Mus musculus: one gene and its partner. The protein of the gene in region 1 interacts with the protein of each later gene in a biochemical or structural test. Links are inferred from orthologs where the notes say so. Each region holds a gene or a part of one and is shown on either strand. Other genes may lie near its edges.

Region 1 (10,367 bases):
GTCAGGCTGTGGTGGTAAACGCTAATCCCAGCATTCGGGGGACAGAGGAAAGTGGATCTCTGAGTTTGGGGTTAGCCTGATCTACAGAGCAGGACTACAGAGAAACCCTGTCTCAAAAAACACAATAATCTATAAAGACAGAAAACTGTAGCTGCTTCTAAAACATTTAATCCCTGTAACTAAAACCAAGTCTGAAATAGTTCCTCTTTGCAGCTTATAAACCAAGTTTATATTGGGGGAATTCTCAATAAAAACCAAGTGATGAATGAGACCGTGGTCTTCTAACCCCAGTGCTCGGGAGGCTGAGCCAGATTGCTTCCAGGTTAAGGCTAGCCTGAACTTGTCTCAAACCAAACCAAAAACTCCATTGCCACCAGTCATCCTGTTTTGGGGTAGGGTGGGCTGAGGCCTCTGCCAGTCAGAACCCATTCTCACTCTGGACTGTCTGCTGAGCTTTAGGGAACATCAGATCCACCGGAGCACACCAGGACTGCTTCCTGCCTCCCATCTGAGCAAACACCCATTTAATTTCCCTCACATTAATCTCCCAGTCCCTTTTCCCCACATCCTCCCTGCGTTTGTGTAAACAAAAGCTGCTCATTTGGATTTAACAAAAATAAAAATCTCACCCTGTCCCTTCCAAATCCCCTTAGTTATTTTTAAAGAATTCATAAACAGGGCAGAGAACTGGGCTCAGAGATGGCTCAGCAGTAAAAGACGCTTTCTGCGAAGCCTGAGGTCCTGGTCTCAGGGTCCCACAAAGTGGAGCTGACTTTTGCAAGGTGGGTTCTAAGCACCACATTCCCACCTGCATTCACACACACAAACTATGAAAACCTGAGCATGACACTGCGTGCTCTTGATGGCTGCACCAGAGGTTCAAGGCTATCCTCAGTCCCAGGAGCAAGCCTGATCCTGAAGGAGTTTTCTGACTATGGACGTGGTTAATTAGCTTCTACTACCAGACCCTACGGATTCCTCCGTCTGAACAGAGGCCAAACCAGCCGTTATGTCACTCAGCGTCAAGAGACTTCTCTCTCCACGGGCTTTCAGTATTGAGACAGGGGAACACTTTCTAGTAACTTCTCCAGTATCTCATAGACAAGAAAAGAACATTTATTTTTGTCATTAAAAAACTTTATTTTTTTTTACAAAGGATAACCCCACTTTGGGGTGAAAATATATTTGGATAAGTAGAAAATATAGTTTTTAATCATACAAAAAGATACACAAAATACAAAAACAACAAAACCGAAACCTCCATCAGCTCGCAGACATTCTGGCTGCACAGTTCTCAGGTGGAGCTGACACAGGACAAAGTGCTAAGGCTTAGTGAGCTTCCGAGCCAGGGCTGAGGCCACAGTGAAAGCAGCACTTTCTCCCAACACTGGACAGGAAATGGGGTCTGGGGGCTTCTGTGCCCCGATCAGTGCTGGGGCATCTCAATGTAGAATGTCACCCAGGCTCCAGCTGTCAACCACAACCCTTCACAGGATTAGTGTTAGAATTACACAAGTCTGTGCGTTGGGAGAAAGCCTCAAAAGCAATAACCAAGCTGGGCCTTTGATCGCAGCACTCAGGAGGCAGAGGCAGGTGGATCTCTCAGGCCAGCCTGGGTCTACAATGTTCAGGGATAGAGACCCTAACCCCCACCCTCCAAGTCACTGGGCTTAATCCTTAAGAGACTGGTGGAGCTTACATCTATAACGGAGACTAAAACAAAATTGACAAGCTAAAGTGCTAAGAACATCACCTTAGAATCAATTCCAAGGGGTTACAGGGAAATAACAGATTCTCCCATCTGATTATGCTTACAAGAGAACACAGTGCAACTGGCTGTAAAATGGCTTTTATGGCCGTCAGTGGGCACAGCTACTACTGCTCCCAGGGTGAAGTCAACTTGGAGCAGCTGCCCCGAATTTCACAGGCTGCGTGCTCACCAGCCGTGGAAGGTCTTTTCTTTGTAAAGATATAAAAAAGGAACACTGACTTTAAAAAACACACAAAAACACTCCTCTTACAAAATTTTGGCCATGACTTGAAATTGGCTCTGTCCCCCATGGCACAGATGATGGTCTACTGATATTTTAGACAATTTAAAAGTCCCTTTAAAACAAAAACCTTGGAAAGACAACGCCAGAAGGTCAGCAGTGCCCTGACTCAGTCAACACAAACAAGTTCTTCATTTCCAACATCCGAGAAAGTGGTCAGGTCTCAATTTTTCTAAGAGTGTTCTGACATCCACCCAGCAAACACTCCTATGCCACAGTGCGGGCACTGGTCTGCACCACTTGAAGCCGGAGACCCGCCTACTGATTGCCACCCATCTTGAGGAGTCAGCGGCTGGGGTGTACCCGTTCCCCGCTGTAGAGACTGAGTCTCTGAAACACTGGAGTTCAAGCAGAGAGGCAGAAAGAAATGCGCTAATACAGATGCTTCATTTCCTGCAGGCTCACTGCACGTTGTTGTTGTTGTTGTTGTTGTTAAGGACGCACGGATCCACCTGGAAGGGGAATAGAGAGGAAATTTTCAGGTTTTTTAGTTAAGTAGAAAACCCACATTAACCCTTCCTTCAAAAGGCCTAGGACAAAATGTTGACCCTGTGAGAATAGCAGTTCTCACCTCAGTGTAAGTGGGTGGGGGCATGAACTGGAACTCAGGGGCGTACATAAAGATAGGGCTGTCTTGAGAGTCGTCCACATCGTCCAGCAGAGGGGTGGTGGGGCTCTCTAGTCTGTGATCTTCAGGAATGATGTCCATATAGCAAGGAGGAGCTGAAGAGAGAAAACGGTGTCAGAAGTCCGACTAAGAAATAAATGCCAGGTCACCCCAACTCCACAAGCCCAAGCAGATCAAAATAACTCGAACCTATCCGGCTGCAGCTTACCTTCTGGGGTATCTGGGATGTTTAGGTCTATCCAGCTCATCTCAGAGCTCGTCCGGCTGGCCATGCTGGATGTCCGGCTGCTCAGACCAGACCTGCTGCCAATCACTAGGGGCAGATCAAGGATGACTTTCTTGGAGCCAGGGACACTGACGTAGATCTAGAGAGGAGGATGGCAGTTTGTTAGATGGGTTGAGTACAGAAAGCACTGAATTTGTAACCAGGTAATTGTCTCTCTTCTCACCCACTCACCAGCAAGGAGTATTCGACTTTGAGGATGTTGCAGCCCAGGATGGATGGTCTGATCTTCTGCACTCTGAGGCTCTTGCCACGCCACGATGCGCAAGTCCCTGAGATAATGTGATTGCCTCTGACTGAGGACAGCTTCTGAGTGAACACTTTGGTCTGGCCATTGGCAAGGTAAGTGTGTCGGGCCACAATAGCCGCTTTGGGGACCACGATTCGGGAACACGTGTTCTCAAAGTCAGCATGGATGGAGATGTCATCACCTAGAGTTAAAATAAAATGAGGAAGTATGAATAGCCATGCAAGTTAACAGCACTTCCTCTGCCTCTACCCTACGACCCTCTCCGTACCACCCCCAACCCCCCCACCCCCAGTTCTGGCTATCCTGTCTAGCATTTGAAGCAGTATGTTTTTACCTTCACAGAATCCTTTTCTGTCAATTCGAGCAGAGACTGACACACGTCCATCAGGAATGAACATGCAGGAAACTTTCTTCTCCTTTTTGGCAGACACTGGTGCCTGTGTAAAAGGAAATAATGTTTTGAGATATTTCAACCCCCATGCATCTAATTTATTATCCCTGACCAAGAAGAATTTTAAAACCTTTTTAAAAACAAAAACAAAAAATCCTCACCATTAGGTCAGGGGTATTGACATCCACTAGATCCATCACTTCGAAGTTTTTCTTTGCCTCTTGAGTTGGCTGGCTGGGGCGATCGAGAAAAGCCTTCACCCAGTAGTCTACGCAACCATATTTTCCTTTAAAGGATGTTCCCAGGGGCCTGTGTCAAAACAATGAACCAAAATTAAGGCTAAGAACTGTAAGAGATCAATGGAGGGGGAAGACTTAGAAATAAGAGTGCAAGGTGCACACGGTGGATGCCTACCCTTGAGGAAGCTCGAAGCCGAACTTGTACTCATATTTGTTTCCAGGCCTCATGATCACCATCTCGTTCTCACCTGCTGGGAAACAAAGACAAGGGGCCATTAGGCTTCTTGTTACATTTTGAAAGCGTCAATGAGGAGTGCCTGGGCAGTAGACTACCTTACTTCACTTCCACTTTCATCTCTTACACTATGGAAGAAAAGATCCCAGAGCACTTTCTTGGACAGAAAGTTGCGAAATCCACAAATACATTAATCTTTAAGTAGTAGCTAAGACAACACTTTCAGGAAACAGTACCTCAGAAAGTGTTCAAATCACTCTAGGGGGGTGAAGGGTAGTGAAAAACTTGCTAATTACAAAGTAAAAAAATATAGGGACCAACAGTTCAAACCATTCAAACGAACAACTCGAAACATTTAGTGGTGCCCTCCCCGACCCACAGACCTCCCAAGTCACCATCAGTCCTGCTGGGAGCAGTACCTGTAGGCTGCTCTTCTAGGAGAAGTGTGTCTTCATAGCGCAAGTAGTCCAAAGTCTGTTTGCACTGCTGAGACCCTTGCATCCACAGGACCTTGGCCACGCCGCAAGCCAGGATCCTGACGGCTTTGACTCGGGTAACTTCACACACTTCCACTATTACCCGTCCGGCCACCTTCTCCCCGCTGCCGTACACCTTCTCGGGGTCGTTGAAGACCACCTCAAAAGACTTGATCTTCTTGAACATCACCATGATTGAGCCGAGTGGGTTCAAGAAAAACGAAAGCCGGAGAGGAAAAAAATCTTTAAGAACCCTTCAAAGCAAACGAAGAGCTCGCCTCCGTAAAGTCAGGGCTTGAAAACCCAAACGAAAATGTAAAGAAAGCTTCAAACAAACCCTAACAACTTTTCCAAAAGGTGCCTGGAAGTTTCAGCCTGCCGGCTGTGCCAAAAGCTTTCAGGAGAAAAATAACAGCTGTCTTCCGCAACTGGAGAAACTCTGGAAACCCCGAGACCAGAGGAGGAGAGTGTCAAGCGGCTGCCGGAAACGGCTTATATAGCCGCCTGGCTTGGCGCTCCACGCGAGTGCTGGCCTGGAGGCTCGTGCAGCCCTCGTGCACAGTTCTCCCATTGGCTACTTGGCCCTTGTTTACCAGGCCTCCAACCAATCAGCGAGGCCGCCGGGGCGCGTGGACACGGTGTGCTCCTAGCGGGGAAAATGGTTGTTGTTCGGGTGCGCAGCCTTGCCAGCAGGAGGGGCGGGGCCCGGGGCGACGGGTGCCCTCCCTCCCCCCGGGAGGCTGGGACCCCGGGACCCTGAACCTCATCCAGGGGACTCCTCTTGGGAGCTGGGTTATTTGGGTGTGTGCTTTGTTTTTTTTTTCCCCCTTCTTTTTTTAGGTGAAAGAAAAATGTGCTTAGGAGAGGATTTCATGACTCGCCTGAGCCAGCGCAATTCATTTCGAGGTGACCATTTATTCCTGGCTCACAAGTTCGCAAGTCTTGTGAAAAACAATCCCATCGCACCGAGGATACTCCAGGATGGAGCGGAGGGCGAGAGTGCAGTCGTGTTAGTGAGAAAGAGCCCACCCGATATGCTCCTATTGCACTTCTATTGAAGAATAAAAGGCTGCGGTCTCTCCAGACGAGAACTTGTCAGATATTTTAAAGTCTGGCTTTCAGTCCTTTCTGGTGAATGCTCTGGTGGGTTCCCCTCATTTCCCCCTCATTTCATGCCCCTATGTGCTGCTACTGTTCCTCGCCCATTACATTCTATTCTGTTCTCTGGAGCGGAAGCAGTAAGGGAGTGTCCACATCCTGTTGCTTATCCCCTCATCTCTTCAGTGTACCTGTGAAGTTGGGGAACATTTTGTATATGTTCCCTTGTTCCTCACTGCAGCTTTGTGAGGTGTTTACTTTCACACTGATGGCTCCCCCGTCCTTGTTTCTCCAGGAAACAAGAGGTGGACAAACCAAAAAAATAAAATAAAAGAAAGAAAGAAAAAGGAAGAAAAAGAACCTCACTCCTTACTTTGTTTTCGAGTTCCTGTCATTCTTTTCCCCCCTCTGTCCTCTCTCCAAATTCACTAAATGAAATGCATGTCCCTAAGCCTGTTTCAATTTCACCGGCGCTGGAGCTGTGTTAGTTTCACTTAGTTATCTGGCAAACCTTGCTGAGAGATGCCTCAGGAGCTGACTAGAGAAATAACTCTTAAGTGTGCAAAGAAACTCTTGTGTGAAGGATTACCTGCAACCCCCTCCCCCTTCGCCCCCTACTCTATTCCCCACCCACCCACCCACTCCCACCCCCACCCCCACCCCGCGCCGGAGCCTTGTCATTGAGTCCTAAACTCCTTCCATATTTGGGCAGAATTATTAGGAGACTATCTATCTCCTTCCTTGCGCAGGAAAATAAAGATGATATAGCCCTGAGATTAAGATGGAGAAGTAAAAAGCGATTGCATGCCTGTTCACCGCTGTTCATAAACAACACCCCCAGCCCCCACCCCCGCGCGCCCTAACTGGGTTGACACCCTAAGGCTAACAAGTTACAACTGAACCTTAAGCAAGCACAGAGATGAACATCACACGGTTCAAAAACATATACACAACACCAAGGCCTAGGAACACCTTGATCCTTAGGGTGTGTTTGTTCCAGAAAGTTAACTAACTAGGCGTCAGGTGTTTTCCAACGATAAACAGTATTTATGAATACTGTAAGGGAGGTAGGTCGCTCACTAACTTCAGTTTCTCAGTGCCTGTAGCAGGCATCTGAGAAAACCTTAGCTTGATGGTATGAAATATCAAAATATACCGAAAGTTCATATATCGATGTTGTTAAATAGTGTGGTATGTAGCAACATAAGATTTAAAAATTTTGTAAGTATATGGCTGTTATTTTCTTCTACCACCTGTGTGCTTGCTGCAGGTGTCCGCCGATGCCTTAGAAGTGGAGTTAAGAGTTGTGAGCTGCCGTTTTTTGGTTCTGGGACTCGAACTCGTTTCCTCTGATACTATCAACCACCAAGCCATCTCTTCAGCCCCAGCTACATAAGACTTCAGGAGAACCAGAGAGATGGTGCCAGGCCTGCCAACCTGAGTTCAATAGCAGAACCCACACAGTAGCAAAAGAACCAACTCTGACCTCCCCTCTCCCCCTCCCCTCTCCTTCCCCTCTCCAGTAGTCACTCCAGAGACACCCAAAATAAAAAATTTAAATGTAAAAAAGTTCTTGTTTTTAAACCTTGAGGTCAGATGAAGGAGGGGAGGCTGCTAAGGGGTGAGAGGGTGCTGCCTTGGGCTGTCTCCTTGGAGGCAATGCTGATAGTTATTCGGTGTTGTCTATGGAGTATTGAATTCTTTAATTAAGGAAAAACCTGTGGACAGTTCTGTGTCCTGTCCCCTGCACGGCTATCGTTTCTTAATTTGCGGCGCTCAGCACAGACCACTTGTTTGTTCTGCGTTAGGCCAAAAATCTGTTTAACTCTGGCAGTGGCAGCTGCTTCCTGGGCCTATAGCCAAGGCTTGTTCTGAATTGGCTGCCTCCTGGAGTGGATTGTTTATAACCTTTCACCTGGTATTCTCATAGCAGTTTGTCCCTCTTCACTCTCTCTCTCTCTCACACACACACACACACACGCACACTCACACGCACATGCACATGTACGCACGTACCCATCTCAGTTCTTGGATGGAAGAAAAAAAAGTCTTATAAACAAAAACAGGGCAGAGGCTGTGGGTTCAGGGACAAGGACAGCTGTGCCCAGGGGGAGCAGAGGCTTGCAAGTTCAGTCTCAGCGCCAGTAGGAAGCCAGGAATGTTTGTCCTGTGTTTGTTTTACTCTAGACAACCGGGTGCCAAAGCTGGCAGTGCAGCCTTCACAGGAGGTGAAGCCAGGCCTGCAGGTCCTTATTCTCTCACCTCTGGCCCCCGCAGACAGTCAGAGCTAGGGATGCAAAACAGCTTGGTTTCTTAATCACTGTAAAATATGTCTTTTCCTTCATCTGCCTACTTCTTTCCTGTCTTTCCCTAAGAAGGTAGTTTAGGGGTGGGGGTTGTGAAATGAGTCTGTGGGATTTGAGACTACCCAGACTACTATACAGAGAAACCCTGTCTCGAAAAACCAAAAAAAAAGAATTCAAAGAGACTTTTTTTTTTTTTTGGACAAGGTTGCATGTGTCCCAGGCTGGCCCCAAACTTGCTATAATAGCCAAGGATGACCTCAAACCTGTTTTTTAAAAAAAAAAGACAGACAGGATTTGGGCTGGAGAGATGGCTCAGCAGTTAAGAGCTTCCAGAGGTCCTAAGTTCAATCCCCAGCAACCACATGGTGGTTCACAACCATCTATAGTGAGATCCGATGCCCTCTTCTGCCCCTGTCTCTGCTTCCACAGCACTGGAACTAAATGAGCAAGCCGGCCCTCTCCCAACTGAGGTTCATCAGCACACTTGTGCCAATGCTATTTTATTTGTAAAGTCAGCTACCTTCTCGTTTTAAACAGGATTTAAGGTTGGATTATTTCATTTAGTTCCCACAATAACCCAGTGGCTCACAGAAAGGCACCGTGATTTGCCCGAGGTCACAGGTTTCTGTAAGTACATCCAGAACTTCATCCTAGGCCTACCTGTTCTGTGCCAGGCAAGCAGGTGACTCACTCTTGTAACTCCAGTACTGGGAGAGTAAGGCAGAGGAGAGCCACCACTCCAGGACTAGCCTGGGCTATGTCGTGAGACATTTAATATTATTTACAAAGGAATGATATACAGATGGAGAATGAAAAGCAAAGAAGAGGCCCAATGGGCTGGAGAGGCAGCTCCGTGGTTAGGAGAAATTGTTGTTGCAGAGGACCCAGGTTTGGTTTTCCAGCACCCACGTGGAGGTTCCATACTTCCTCAGGCACCAGGCACAGATGTGAGCCTTGCCTCTCGGTGCTTTGACTTGTACCTTGTTTGATCTTTGCAATGGCATTGAAAGGATACAGGGCAAGACTCTCAGAGTTTTAGATTTAAAGGGGACTCTAAATAGTTCCCTTGTTTGGTTGCAAGACACGCCCTCAGATAACCAGCTAATAAATATCTGGTTGGAGCCATTCCTGGGCTTGCTCTGAGGATGACGGTCCCAGGTTTAGAGGATTCATCATGGGCACCTAAAACAAACAACGACTGGCAAGAAGGGACCCCTGTATAAAATAAATACCTTGTCTGGAATCCCATGCTTCCCACTGTTGAGGCTGGTCTTCCTGCTTCTGCCTCCTGACTGCCAGCACGGCCACTGCACCCCAGCCACTGCACCCCAGCCACTGCACCCCAGCCACTGCACCCCAGCCACTGCACCCCAGCCACTGCACCCAGTCGGCTTGAGACTCGAAAGGGAGTCTCCTGAGTCAGATATGTCTGTTTGGCTTCTCTCTCCTTCCTTTCCTGAGAAGGCAGTGGTTCTCAATCTCCCTAATGCAGTTCCTCATTATGTTATTTCATTGCTACTTTCTAACCGTAATTTTGCTATTGTTATTAATTGTAATGTAAATATCTGCTATACAACTCCCGTGGGATCAAGGCCCACAGGGTGAGACACACTGCTCCAGTCAGTTTTCTTCAGTGTTTTTAGAAGACATCAAAGTGAGGGTTTTTTTTTAACAACTGTATAGTTTGAAAACCATCATTTAAAGAACTGGAGATTCATCTTGACTTTTGGTTTTTATTCTCTTCTCTTTTGCTATTTTGTTTCTTTTCTTCTTACCCTCTCAGAGCTTTTCCTAAGGATGTTGGCCTTGGTGTCCCCCCTTCTCTCTTTCTTTAATTTTTAGGTTTGCTTTTATTATTTTATGAGTGTTTTGTCTGCACGTACACCCATGTACCGTGTTCATGCCTGGCGCTGAGAAAGTGTTGAACCCCCATGTGCGTGCTGGAAAACCAAACCTGGGTCCTTTGCAGCAACAACAATTTTTCCTAACCACTGAGCCGACTCTCCAACCCATCGTGCCTCTTCTTTGTTTGCTTTTCGTTCTCCATCTGTATATCATTCCTTTGTAAATGATATTAAACAGTGGGTGACAGAGAGGCTGGAGAGATGGCTTCATGGGTAAGAGTCCTTGTTGCTTTTCTAGAGGACCTGGGAGAGGAGCCTGAGTGCCAGGCCAGCCTGGTCTACAGAGCCAGTGCCAGGATAGTCAGGGCTACACGGAAAAACCCTGTCTTGAAAAACAAACAAACAAACAAACAAAAATCAGAAGATCAAAGTGAGTTTGAGTCCAGAAAAGTGCTCTACTGTGTAACTAGCTTGTCTCCTGCACTCCTGTCAGCATCTCAAATTCAATTTACCACACCCCCATACACTAGAATGTTTGCTTTTTTAGAAAAAAATGGGGGAGAGAG
Region 2 (9,630 bases), on another chromosome or scaffold:
TTTCTCTTTCTCTTTCTCTTCTTCCCCTCTCTCTCCCTCTTACTGTCCCCCTTCCCCTCCCTCTCCCTCGTGTCCTTCCCTCTCCCTGCCTCTCCCTCTCCTTCCCTCTCCCTCTCCTTTCTTTCTTCCCCTACTTCTGTCCCTGGACCCTTGCTCACACTTGTTGCACTGCTGGCCCACTCCCACTGTGCTGAGCTCAGAGCTGAGTCAAGTCCGGTCATGTACAGATCTATCTCAAGAACTTCCCACACAATAGTTACGCAATTCCTCACGCCGTCACAGCCCGTCATTGCAAGCCCCCCCTTGTTCCCTGCACCCAGCAGCAGTGACACTCAAATCAGACCATGTTGAAGTCTGCTCTTGATCATAGTGTCTTCTAGTCAGCTGTTCAAAGACCGCAATAGAAACATGGACGGGCACAGTAGGGCAGAGGTGGCAGTTGGCCCTAATGATGTTTTTCAACCTTAGCACCACGGGTACTTTGCACTGGACAGCCCTTTGGTATTTATTGTGATGGGCTGTCCTGTATTCAGTAGTAGGATGCCAGCAGCCAGTGTGACCGCAGGCACTGTAGACATACTTTGATGGAGGAGGGGTGCTGGCCAGGGGAACTTCCCAGAGGGGAACTGCATTCCCTGAAAGGTGATCAAATAGAAGGAAAGAGCAGTCTGAGATGTGGGTGTTACTGTCTGCCCAGAGGATATGAGTCAGAGTGCTGCTGAAGAAACTCTTCATCCTGAGGGCTGAGGTGGCCCTGGCTGCTGGGCTGCCACAGTGAGGTGAAGCTCTCTCTGTGTCTGTGTGAGAAGCCCCTCCAGGCTGTAGAGCAGGGAAGGGACCCACTAGCCAGGGCAGAGAGGCCTGTCCTTGGTGAGGAAGAAGACCAATTCTAGACTCTGAAGCATCCTTCACTGCTGCTGCTGCTCTCAGCTTTAACCTGAGCCTCTTCCTTTAGGTTTCAGAGGGGGCTCTGGAGATGCAGCGGGTGGGACTGTCCAGCCCCACCTGCAACATCTGGCCCTGGGTTCATAGCTGACTCTCAGGTGTGGTTGCACTGTTATAGAGACATCTGAGCTCTGGGCTGAGCTGAGGGAAAGAGGTTCAGGGGCCTAGCAAAGATGAGAGGCTGGGAGTACGGGTCAAGACCAGACTGAGAGACAGCTGGACAATTTGACCCTTTCCTCCTTGTAAGAGAGAGGGAAGATGGTGGGCCTATAAGAAGGGCCATATCCCCACAGAACATGGGGGAAGAGCTGAGGGGATCACTCTGGGATGGGAGAGAAGATTCAGGCCCGGAAGCAGAATATCCAAGGATAGGTACTGGGAGGAGCCAGAGGTCCCCAAACACAGCTCTGCCGCAGTCTCAAATCCTGGGTCAGTTCAGCAGGGTGGCCAGGCTAGCCAGCACCCCATGTGGCCTGTAAGCCTTTCACATGTTGAAAGGGTTGAAAGAAAAGCAAGTGACAGAGGCTGTATGTGGCTTCAGACTTAGCCTTCCTATGAATGTTTCCTCACATGGCTCTGGGTCACTCACCCTTCCTGAGGTGGGGGAGCCACTTATCAAAAACCCAAGAGCCCAGGGCTTCTGCTCTCGGGGGCCACAGAACCTTAGGGTTTCTGAGTCAAGCCCTAGTTCCCTCAGGTTCTTCTTGCCCCATATAGCTTACATAGCCCCTGGCAATGTAAGCCGGGAACCCTATCTCAGTGCTCCCCTGTGGTTTAGGGTTTTTGGTTTTTGTTTTTAATTTTGATTGTTTTTGCTGCTCTGAGGCTTGAGCAGAGGTCCTGGTGTGCTAAGTGGTCACACCTTAGGTCACACCTTAGATCCCCTCCCTCTTGCTTCTCTCTGAAAGGTGGCTTCTCTCCTGGGGAGCACAAATGGCATCAATAACGCCTTATTCTGTGAGCAGGCTACGTGTTCTGCCTCACATCCCTTTACAGACACCACCCTGCCACCACAGAGAGGAAGTGCTCACTTCCTCTGTAGAGAGCAGGCATCGCACACACAGTTGCCTGGGTCTTAGGATTTCCAAGAAGCTCTTGGGCATGTGCAGGTCCCCCGCCTCACTAAGGGAACAGGTAGTGTGGAGTAGCTCTTTTTTGCAAGCTGTCCCAGCCCAGGGACCTCAGCTGCACAGAGCCAACGCACTTCCCATGAGTGTGGTCAAGGAAGCCCGAGTACCCTCTGCACTAACAGAGCATCTCTAAGATGTCAGCCCTCGTGACAGGCCAACTCCACAACAGATCTTTCAACTGATTAGCTCTTTCCCTATCTCATCAGCATGAACCCAGGAAGAAATGGTTTCACGTTTTATTTTTGTTTTGTTATTTTACATTTGGAGGGCGTTTTGCCTGCATACATGTCGGCACCACGTGCTCATGGAGGCTCAAAAAGAGCATGAGGTCCCTAGACTTGGGATTGCAGGTGGCTGTGAGCTGCCATTGGGTGCTGGGAACAGAATCTGCAAGAGATGTCAGGTTGCATCACAGCTCCAGCCCAGTGGTTCTACACTGTAAAAGGATTCTCTGAAAAGCAAGTGCGAGCCATGTGTGGCTCCAGCCCTTCCCAGGAGGCCTGTTGAACCCAGACTGTCGCCTCTAACTGGTCTAGGTCAGTTTGCTTCAGATGTTCCCTACAAGGAAGAGTGGAGGACTGTGCTAGTTCATTACCCATGTAAAGGCATTGCTTTGGGGGTGAAAGACTGCAACAGAACACAGAACACAGGAGGGACCTAGGACAGATGCCACACAGCACAGGAGACTGGTGGGAAGGCACATTCAGCAGACCTGGGACGTTTGGGTTGGGCACAGTGGCAGCGTCAGGGATAACATTTGGGCTTGTGATTGGCACAAGGGGTAGGACAGGCAGCTACCGCTGGGATCCTATGAGGGGAGTAGTCAGCAGGCATTCTGTCCCTGCAGGACACCTTTCTCCCAGATGGACACTGAGGGCAGTAGCTGGATGGAACAGGTGGCCCTAGAACTTTTCCCCCATAGAGAATTCTCTGGATTCTCTGGGGCTGCTCTGTCTTCCCTGAGCCAGTGTGAGCTTGGAGCCTCATGTGAACCTTACAGAAGGAGTCTCAGAGCAGCAGGACTGGAAAGCCAGGCTCAGACAGTATTCCTGATTCTGATAGGAAGCCCACTGCTCAGCCTCTGCTGTCCCTGAGCCTGGGTGGGACCGCTGTTACAGTATAGGAAGCTGGTGCCCGTGCTGCCCGGCAGAGGACTCGGCAACAGAGAGGAAGGAGCGGGAGAGTGAGCTTTGGCTCACTGCTGACAACCCAGGCCAGCAGCTTCCCTGCATGTGGGTGGGAGAGGTTGGGAGCACCTTATCACTTCGCTGCTTCTGTGAGGAAAGCTAAAGACCTGAGCTGGAGGAAGAGAGAGAGGCTCAGTGCTCGCCCTTAAGTTCATGCAGGCAGCTTCTCTTCAGTCTTAGCTGACTTACTCTGCACAGATCTACCATTTGCACACAGTTCAAGTAAGCTCCATTAGCCAGTTTCAAAAAAGTATTTTTTAATCAATTGCGATGGCATATGCCTTTAGTCCCAAGTACTTGGGAGGCAGGGGCAAGCAGATCTCTGAGTTCAAGGACAGCCTGGTGTCTGTATAGAGAATTTCAGTACAGCCAGTGCTACATAGAGAGACCCTATCTCAAAAATTTTTTATGTGTATGAGTGTTTTGCCTACAGGGAAAGGCCCCCATTACCGTTCAATTCTGCTTGTGGGTCTATTTGGTCACCCTGTACAACCAAAGGGAAGGAGCCCCAGTTCCCAGCTCTGGGCCCTGGAGAAGCACTTTTTATCTCTGCAGCTTCTTATTCAGAACAGCCTGTCCCCTACAGAGCCTGATAAATGGGACCTTGCCTTTCCAGCAGCTCTCTGGGCTGTGTGTCCCTTGAAGAACACAAGCACTTTGTTTTGCTTGTCCAACTTGGCCCAGTCTCTGACCCCTGTAGGACCAAGGTTTTCTAGAAGAGAGCCTAAGACCCTTTGTTGACTCAAGGTACCCCTACCACTGGCTCTGGCCCCTGGCCTGGGCTGGATCTCAGAGGCAGGAGTGGTAGCAGGGATGGGATGTAAACTGGAAGATGGCCATCGGAGCAGGGACTGAATGGGGCATGACCCTCTCTGTGGAATTTTGTCAGGAGGATGTAGTCAGACTTTGACAGTGGTTTTCAATGAACTGGGTCCAGTACTGTGTGGTAGGTACCATAAGTATGTTTCCTCAGTTTCCTCTAGCACTGTAGAGGAAGCAGTCATGGGCCACATAAAGACTTTTCAGTGACAGACGGTATGTACAGAATGGCTATCCTGTAATACCATAACAGCTGGAAAGTAGCTCAGTGGTAGAGCATATGACCAGCATGTGCAAGGCCCTGAGTTTATCCCCAGCACTGCAAAACAAAGCCATGTAGAAAATAGCTCTGTGATCTAGCAACATTGGCATAACAGCGTTACTCATAGGTCTGTAAACCTACCCACCGTGCTGCCAGGCATAAAAGTTTAGCACAAGGCTAAACAGGCAAGCACTAGAGCCCTTGTCTAGTGTACCCAGGATCCCAAATTTAGTCTTCACTACAACAGAAACAACATGTTTAGCATGCACGGTCATGTTCAAAAAGTACCATATATGCTGATGACAGTAATGGCTGGAGGGATGGCTCAGGGGTGCAGAGCACGATTTTCTTGCAGAGAACTTAGGTTTAGTTCCTAGTACCCAAACTAGGCAGCTGCCAACTTCTTATACCTCCAGCCCTGGGACATCTGACACCCCCTTTTGGCCCACATGAGCACCTGTACTCAGGTGCACATAACCCACATACAGATATACACATGATTTAGAATAAAACTTTTAATAATTATAAGATGGTAATAGACATAGCCATTATTAGTTTATTGGGTATATTTTTATCATAATTTCCCAGTGAGTTCCTTCTGCATACTAGAACAGTTTGCCCTGAAACACCCTTCTGGGTTACATGCCAGCATCCTGGCGTGTCTCATGTTTGCCATCCCTTAATTGCATCAAGAGCCCTGAGTGGCCCACAGCATTTAGTTTTATTCCAAATGCACTCTGATGTTCGTACAGTGGAATCACCTAATAACACATTTCTCAGAATGGGCCCCCTTTAAGTGATGCATAAGCACAATGCTGAAGTCGGCATTAGAGAAGAGGCGGTTGGAGCTCACGGCTGCTCACAGTGAGTGCCCACAGTCAGCTGGGAGCAAAGGAGTGACCTGGGATTAGAACTCATTACGTTTCCATTCAGAACTAGCTGCTGAGCCCTGCACTGTCTGGCTTCCCTTGTATAGCAGGTGCTTAGGCCACCTTTTCCCAGTCTGTTCTAAGCCTGAGCCTGGCTCCGTCTCTGGACTTGACACACAAATCATGATGACCAAGCAGGGGTAAAGATGATGAGGGACGAGGGCCGCCCCACTCCCACACACTTACCTTGGCAAAGTGCTGCTCACCTTTCCTTTCTGCACCTATTCCTTTCTGCTGCACTTGAGGGTGTAGATCAGGACTGGAAATGGAATGGCTGTGAAGAGACGATGTGCAGTTCCATGCTCAGGAGCTTGCCGTGTGCACCTGGGAGGGAATGGCTTGTGTGAGAGCTGCAGGTGATAAGGGGTGTGTGTGTGTGTGTGTGTGTGTGTGTGTGTGTGTGTGTGTGTGTGTGTGAGAGAGAGACTGGCCGAAACCCAGAGCCTTGTGAGTACAATATGATCCAGGCACAGTCACTCACATTTATAATCCTAACATTCAAAAGGCTGAGGCTGGAGGGTTGCTGTGAGTTCCTGAGACCCTGTTTCAAAGAAAGAAGAAGTGAAGTGAAATAAAAGCTCTGCCCTGTCATGACAGGGTGTGGACCTAGAAAGTTGGTTCCCCATGTGTACTTGGGCTTGTCCGTGGTACATGTGTGCTGGGTGGGTCTGGCTAGGCTGTGGCACTGGGTGTTGTCCGTGTTGCCTGACAGTGTGGTGAGTGTGTCAGAACCAGTGCCACCTGCCCATGGCTATATCCTTGGCACCAGGTTAGGCCCTCTGGTGTGGGGGCAGGGCTAGAGAGCAGGCCCACACCAGGACAGATTCTCCAGTTCCTAGAACTACTTCCTTGCCTGGGGCCTTTCCCTGATCATCAGCTGAGCACCTGGAAAAGAAAAGAGGCGGTGGCTTCTTCAGGTGGCATTTCCAGCCAGCCACAGGGGAACTGGGCCTGGAAGACAGAAGTGACAGTGTGCTTTAGAGCGTGTCCTTAGTCCTGCAGGCTCAAACTGCAGAGTCAGTGAGTGCGCACTTCGTCAGGCTCGCAGGATGCATAACCTGTCTGCCTAGCTGTGCTTCCTCCTCAGCAGGGGGTCGGGGCAGGGCCCAGGGCCTACAGCTGTGGCCTAGAGTATGTTGAGAGCCATCTGGAAGGGGGCAGATAGGCAGAAGGAGCATTTTCTTCCCTGTGCCTTGCTGCTCTGTCCTCCTTGGCCACCATCCTCAGAGTCTTGACCACCTTAGGAGAGGGGGAGAGCCCAGTCCTCTTTTCGTCCGGAGAAACTGAACCTATGTAAAGCGGAGAAGGGGCCTGGCTGGAGAGCACTGTGAGGACGTTTGCAGCAGAGCCAAGCCCTGGCGATATGGTGAGACAGTAGCCACCTACCCAGGCCCTTCTCCCTGCAGGTTATTGAGGAGTTCTACAATCAAACATGGAACCACCGCTACGGAGAGCCCATCCCATCCACCACACTCACCACGCTTTGGTCTCTCTCCGTGGCCATCTTCTCTGTCGGGGGCATGATTGGTTCCTTCTCTGTCGGCCTCTTTGTTAATCGCTTTGGCAGGTAAGCAAGAAAGGCTCCAGCCCTGCCTTGGGGAGCCTGTGTCATCCTGTCTGGGGAGTTCTGGGGGAAGGTGGGGTGGCAGAAACATCCCTGACTATGGCCTCATTCCTGGGAAGTCTGGGGGTCCCGGGAGCTGGCTGACCTGTGACCCATCCTCAGGCGGAACTCCATGCTGATGATGAACCTGTTGGCCTTTGTGGCTGCTGTGCTTATGGGCTTCTCCAAACTGGGCAAGTCCTTTGAGATGCTGATCCTGGGCCGCTTCATCATCGGTGTGTACTGCGGCCTGACTACTGGCTTTGTGCCCATGTATGTGGGAGAGGTGTCACCTACAGCTCTACGTGGAGCCCTAGGCACACTGCACCAGCTGGGAATCGTCGTTGGCATCCTTATTGCCCAGGTAAGCCAGTTCTGGGTCTACCTGCTGCCCAGCCTAGGACAACCTCATGGTAGACAGATCCCAGAGCACAGTGACCCCCAGACCCACAGCCTACAAGAGCCCTTGGCCTTCACCTGGGCTTCCAGGCCTAGAAGCCTTCATGAGCATGGCACTCCTCTCCTGGAGGATCCTCCATCTTTTACTCCTATAGCTGAGTAGCAACCCCCACATGCTGTGCCGGGCACACTTATATGTGGCGTTGTCCCTTGCTTGTCCTTTATAGTTTGAGCTGGTTTTGCAGGTGAGGGAACAAGAAAGGTCCTTCCCTCCCCCAGCAGCCGGTGGGCAGACAGGGACAGCCCGCTTGGTGGCTGGGATGGATACTGGAGTAGGGCCAGGGCAGGGCACTCACAGTCCCTGGTTTCTTTGTCCAGGTGTTTGGCTTAGACTCCATCATGGGCAATGCAGACTTGTGGCCTCTGCTGCTCAGTGTCATCTTCATCCCAGCCCTGCTACAGTGTATCCTGTTGCCCTTCTGCCCCGAGAGCCCCCGCTTCCTGCTCATCAATCGTAACGAGGAGAACCGGGCCAAGAGTGGTACGGGCTGGGCCCTGCCCTCCTCCCTCTCCCCCTGAGCTCGGGCCTTTTCCCCACTCTGAGCCATCCCACCTTCCCTCTGGTCCCACCAGTGCTGAAGAAGCTTCGAGGGACAGCCGATGTGACCCGAGACCTGCAGGAGATGAAAGAAGAGGGTCGGCAGATGATGCGGGAGAAGAAGGTCACCATCTTGGAGCTGTTCCGCTCACCCGCCTACCGCCAGCCCATCCTCATCGCTGTGGTGCTGCAGCTGTCCCAGCAGCTGTCGGGTATCAATGCTGTGAGTACCCCACCTACCCCTTCCTGTGGCCCCAGCCAAGTCCAGGCTCAAGTGTGCACCGCGAGTGAGTCCTGAGGGAAATACTAAGTTCTTCCCGTGGGTACACAAAGCAGTGTACCTGTGGAGCCAAAACCTGCAGCAGTATCCACCTGCCTGGGAAGTGTTGATCCCCCATGCCCCAACACACACACACACACACACACACACACACACACACACACACTCACCTTGGGTCCCACACCTACTTGTAACTAGTACAGAGGAAGGAGAAGGCCATAAGCATGGAGGATCTCCAATGATCTCCCTTTCTGGCAGGTGTTCTACTACTCAACGAGCATCTTCGAGAAGGCAGGTGTGCAGCAGCCTGTGTACGCCACCATCGGCTCCGGTATCGTCAACACGGCCTTCACTGTGGTGTCGGTGAGTCTCGCTTTTGGTCGGCAGCCAGGGTCCAGTTCAGGGCATCAGGACAGAATGGCAGCCTGTTGTGGGAGCCAGACTTAATGTCAGTAAACGTGTGAGGCTCATTACTCACCCCGTGCAGCTGTCACAGATGCTCAGGGAGGTGAGAAGGCAAGAGCTCTCCCAAGCTCACAGCCTGTGTGCATTAGCTCTCTGATCACCAGTACCTTTCACCCTGGTACTGTTGGGCTCAGAGGCATATTCCTTCCCTCGGTCCCTACAAGGCCCCCAAGCTTCAGCCTGGTGGGGAGAGGTATTTCCCCCACTAGTGTATGTATTTCCTTGTATTTAGCTATTGAGGTGAGCCTCTGGGCAGGTGGCTCCAAGAGGCACCAGGCTGAGAACATGTCTTTCTCCTTGCCCACAGCTGTTTGTTGTAGAGCGAGCTGGACGACGGACCCTGCACCTCATTGGCCTGGCTGGCATGGCAGGCTGTGCTGTGCTCATGACCATCGCCCTGGCCTTGCTGGTGAGTGGCTGTGCCCTGGAAGGCCCAGTGCAAGGTAGAGTGGGGACCTGGATTGAGGCACACCGGGCATGTACAAGGTGCCATGGCTGTAGATTATACCTGGATTTAGATCCCAAATAAATACCCATGTTGCACCCAGCCTCGGTTGCCCCATGTCAGTGTGCCCCTGGACTGGGCCTGACCTCTGCTTCTCAGGTTGTTTCCTCCCATCTCGATCTTTCTCTTCCCTGCCTGGGGATTTCCTGCACATGTAGACAGACCCAAGCTCCATATGGAAATGCCTCTCCTGAAGCTGAACCTTACAGAGCCTTTACCTAGAAAGCCTCAGTTCATCTCCAGAGCAACCTTCAGTGGACAGTGGTCCCCTTACTGCCACAGAGGTGCACAAACACGCCTGTCTCCATTCTCCAAACTAGGAACTGTGATGTTAGTTTTTACAGCTTGAGCTTCTCTGAAGTGCTCAACCAGATTTGTGAATATCTGCATATATTCAGTGAGTTACTTTCAGATTAGGACTCAAGTCTAAAAGTAGAATTCATTTGTTTCATATGTGCCTTCCACACATGGTATGTTTATCATGTCTGTATTTTGACTGGCATCAGAC

Evidence for each region.
Region 2: the proteins of Txnip (region 1) and Slc2a1 form a complex in vitro, tested with the Homo sapiens proteins (2 studies listed by BioGRID). The link is inferred for Mus musculus from reciprocal best matches to the Homo sapiens genes TXNIP and SLC2A1.

The regions. Positions count from the first base shown.
Region 1 is NC_000069.6:96,552,615-96,562,981, reverse strand, and holds Txnip (thioredoxin-interacting protein), read right to left. Parts: upstream 5,026-10,367; 5' UTR 4,747-5,025; coding exon 4,497-4,746; intron 4,094-4,496; coding exon 4,018-4,093; intron 3,913-4,017; coding exon 3,765-3,912; intron 3,650-3,764; coding exon 3,547-3,649; intron 3,394-3,546; coding exon 3,137-3,393; intron 3,045-3,136; coding exon 2,888-3,044; intron 2,775-2,887; coding exon 2,623-2,774; intron 2,504-2,622; coding exon 2,453-2,503; 3' UTR 1,125-2,452; downstream 1-1,124. UniProt on the Homo sapiens protein: May act as an oxidative stress mediator by inhibiting thioredoxin activity or by limiting its bioavailability.
Region 2 is NC_000070.6:119,125,445-119,135,074, forward strand, and holds part of Slc2a1 (solute carrier family 2, facilitated glucose transporter member 1), read left to right. Parts: intron 1-4,843; exon of another isoform or gene 4,844-5,225; intron 5,226-5,478; exon of another isoform or gene 5,479-5,596; intron 5,597-5,753; exon of another isoform or gene 5,754-5,813; intron 5,814-6,125; exon of another isoform or gene 6,126-6,678; coding exon 6,679-6,839; intron 6,840-6,998; coding exon 6,999-7,239; intron 7,240-7,652; coding exon 7,653-7,815; intron 7,816-7,907; coding exon 7,908-8,095; intron 8,096-8,410; coding exon 8,411-8,515; intron 8,516-8,924; coding exon 8,925-9,026; intron 9,027-9,630. UniProt on the Homo sapiens protein: Facilitative glucose transporter, which is responsible for constitutive or basal glucose uptake. Has a very broad substrate specificity; can transport a wide range of aldoses including both pentoses and hexoses.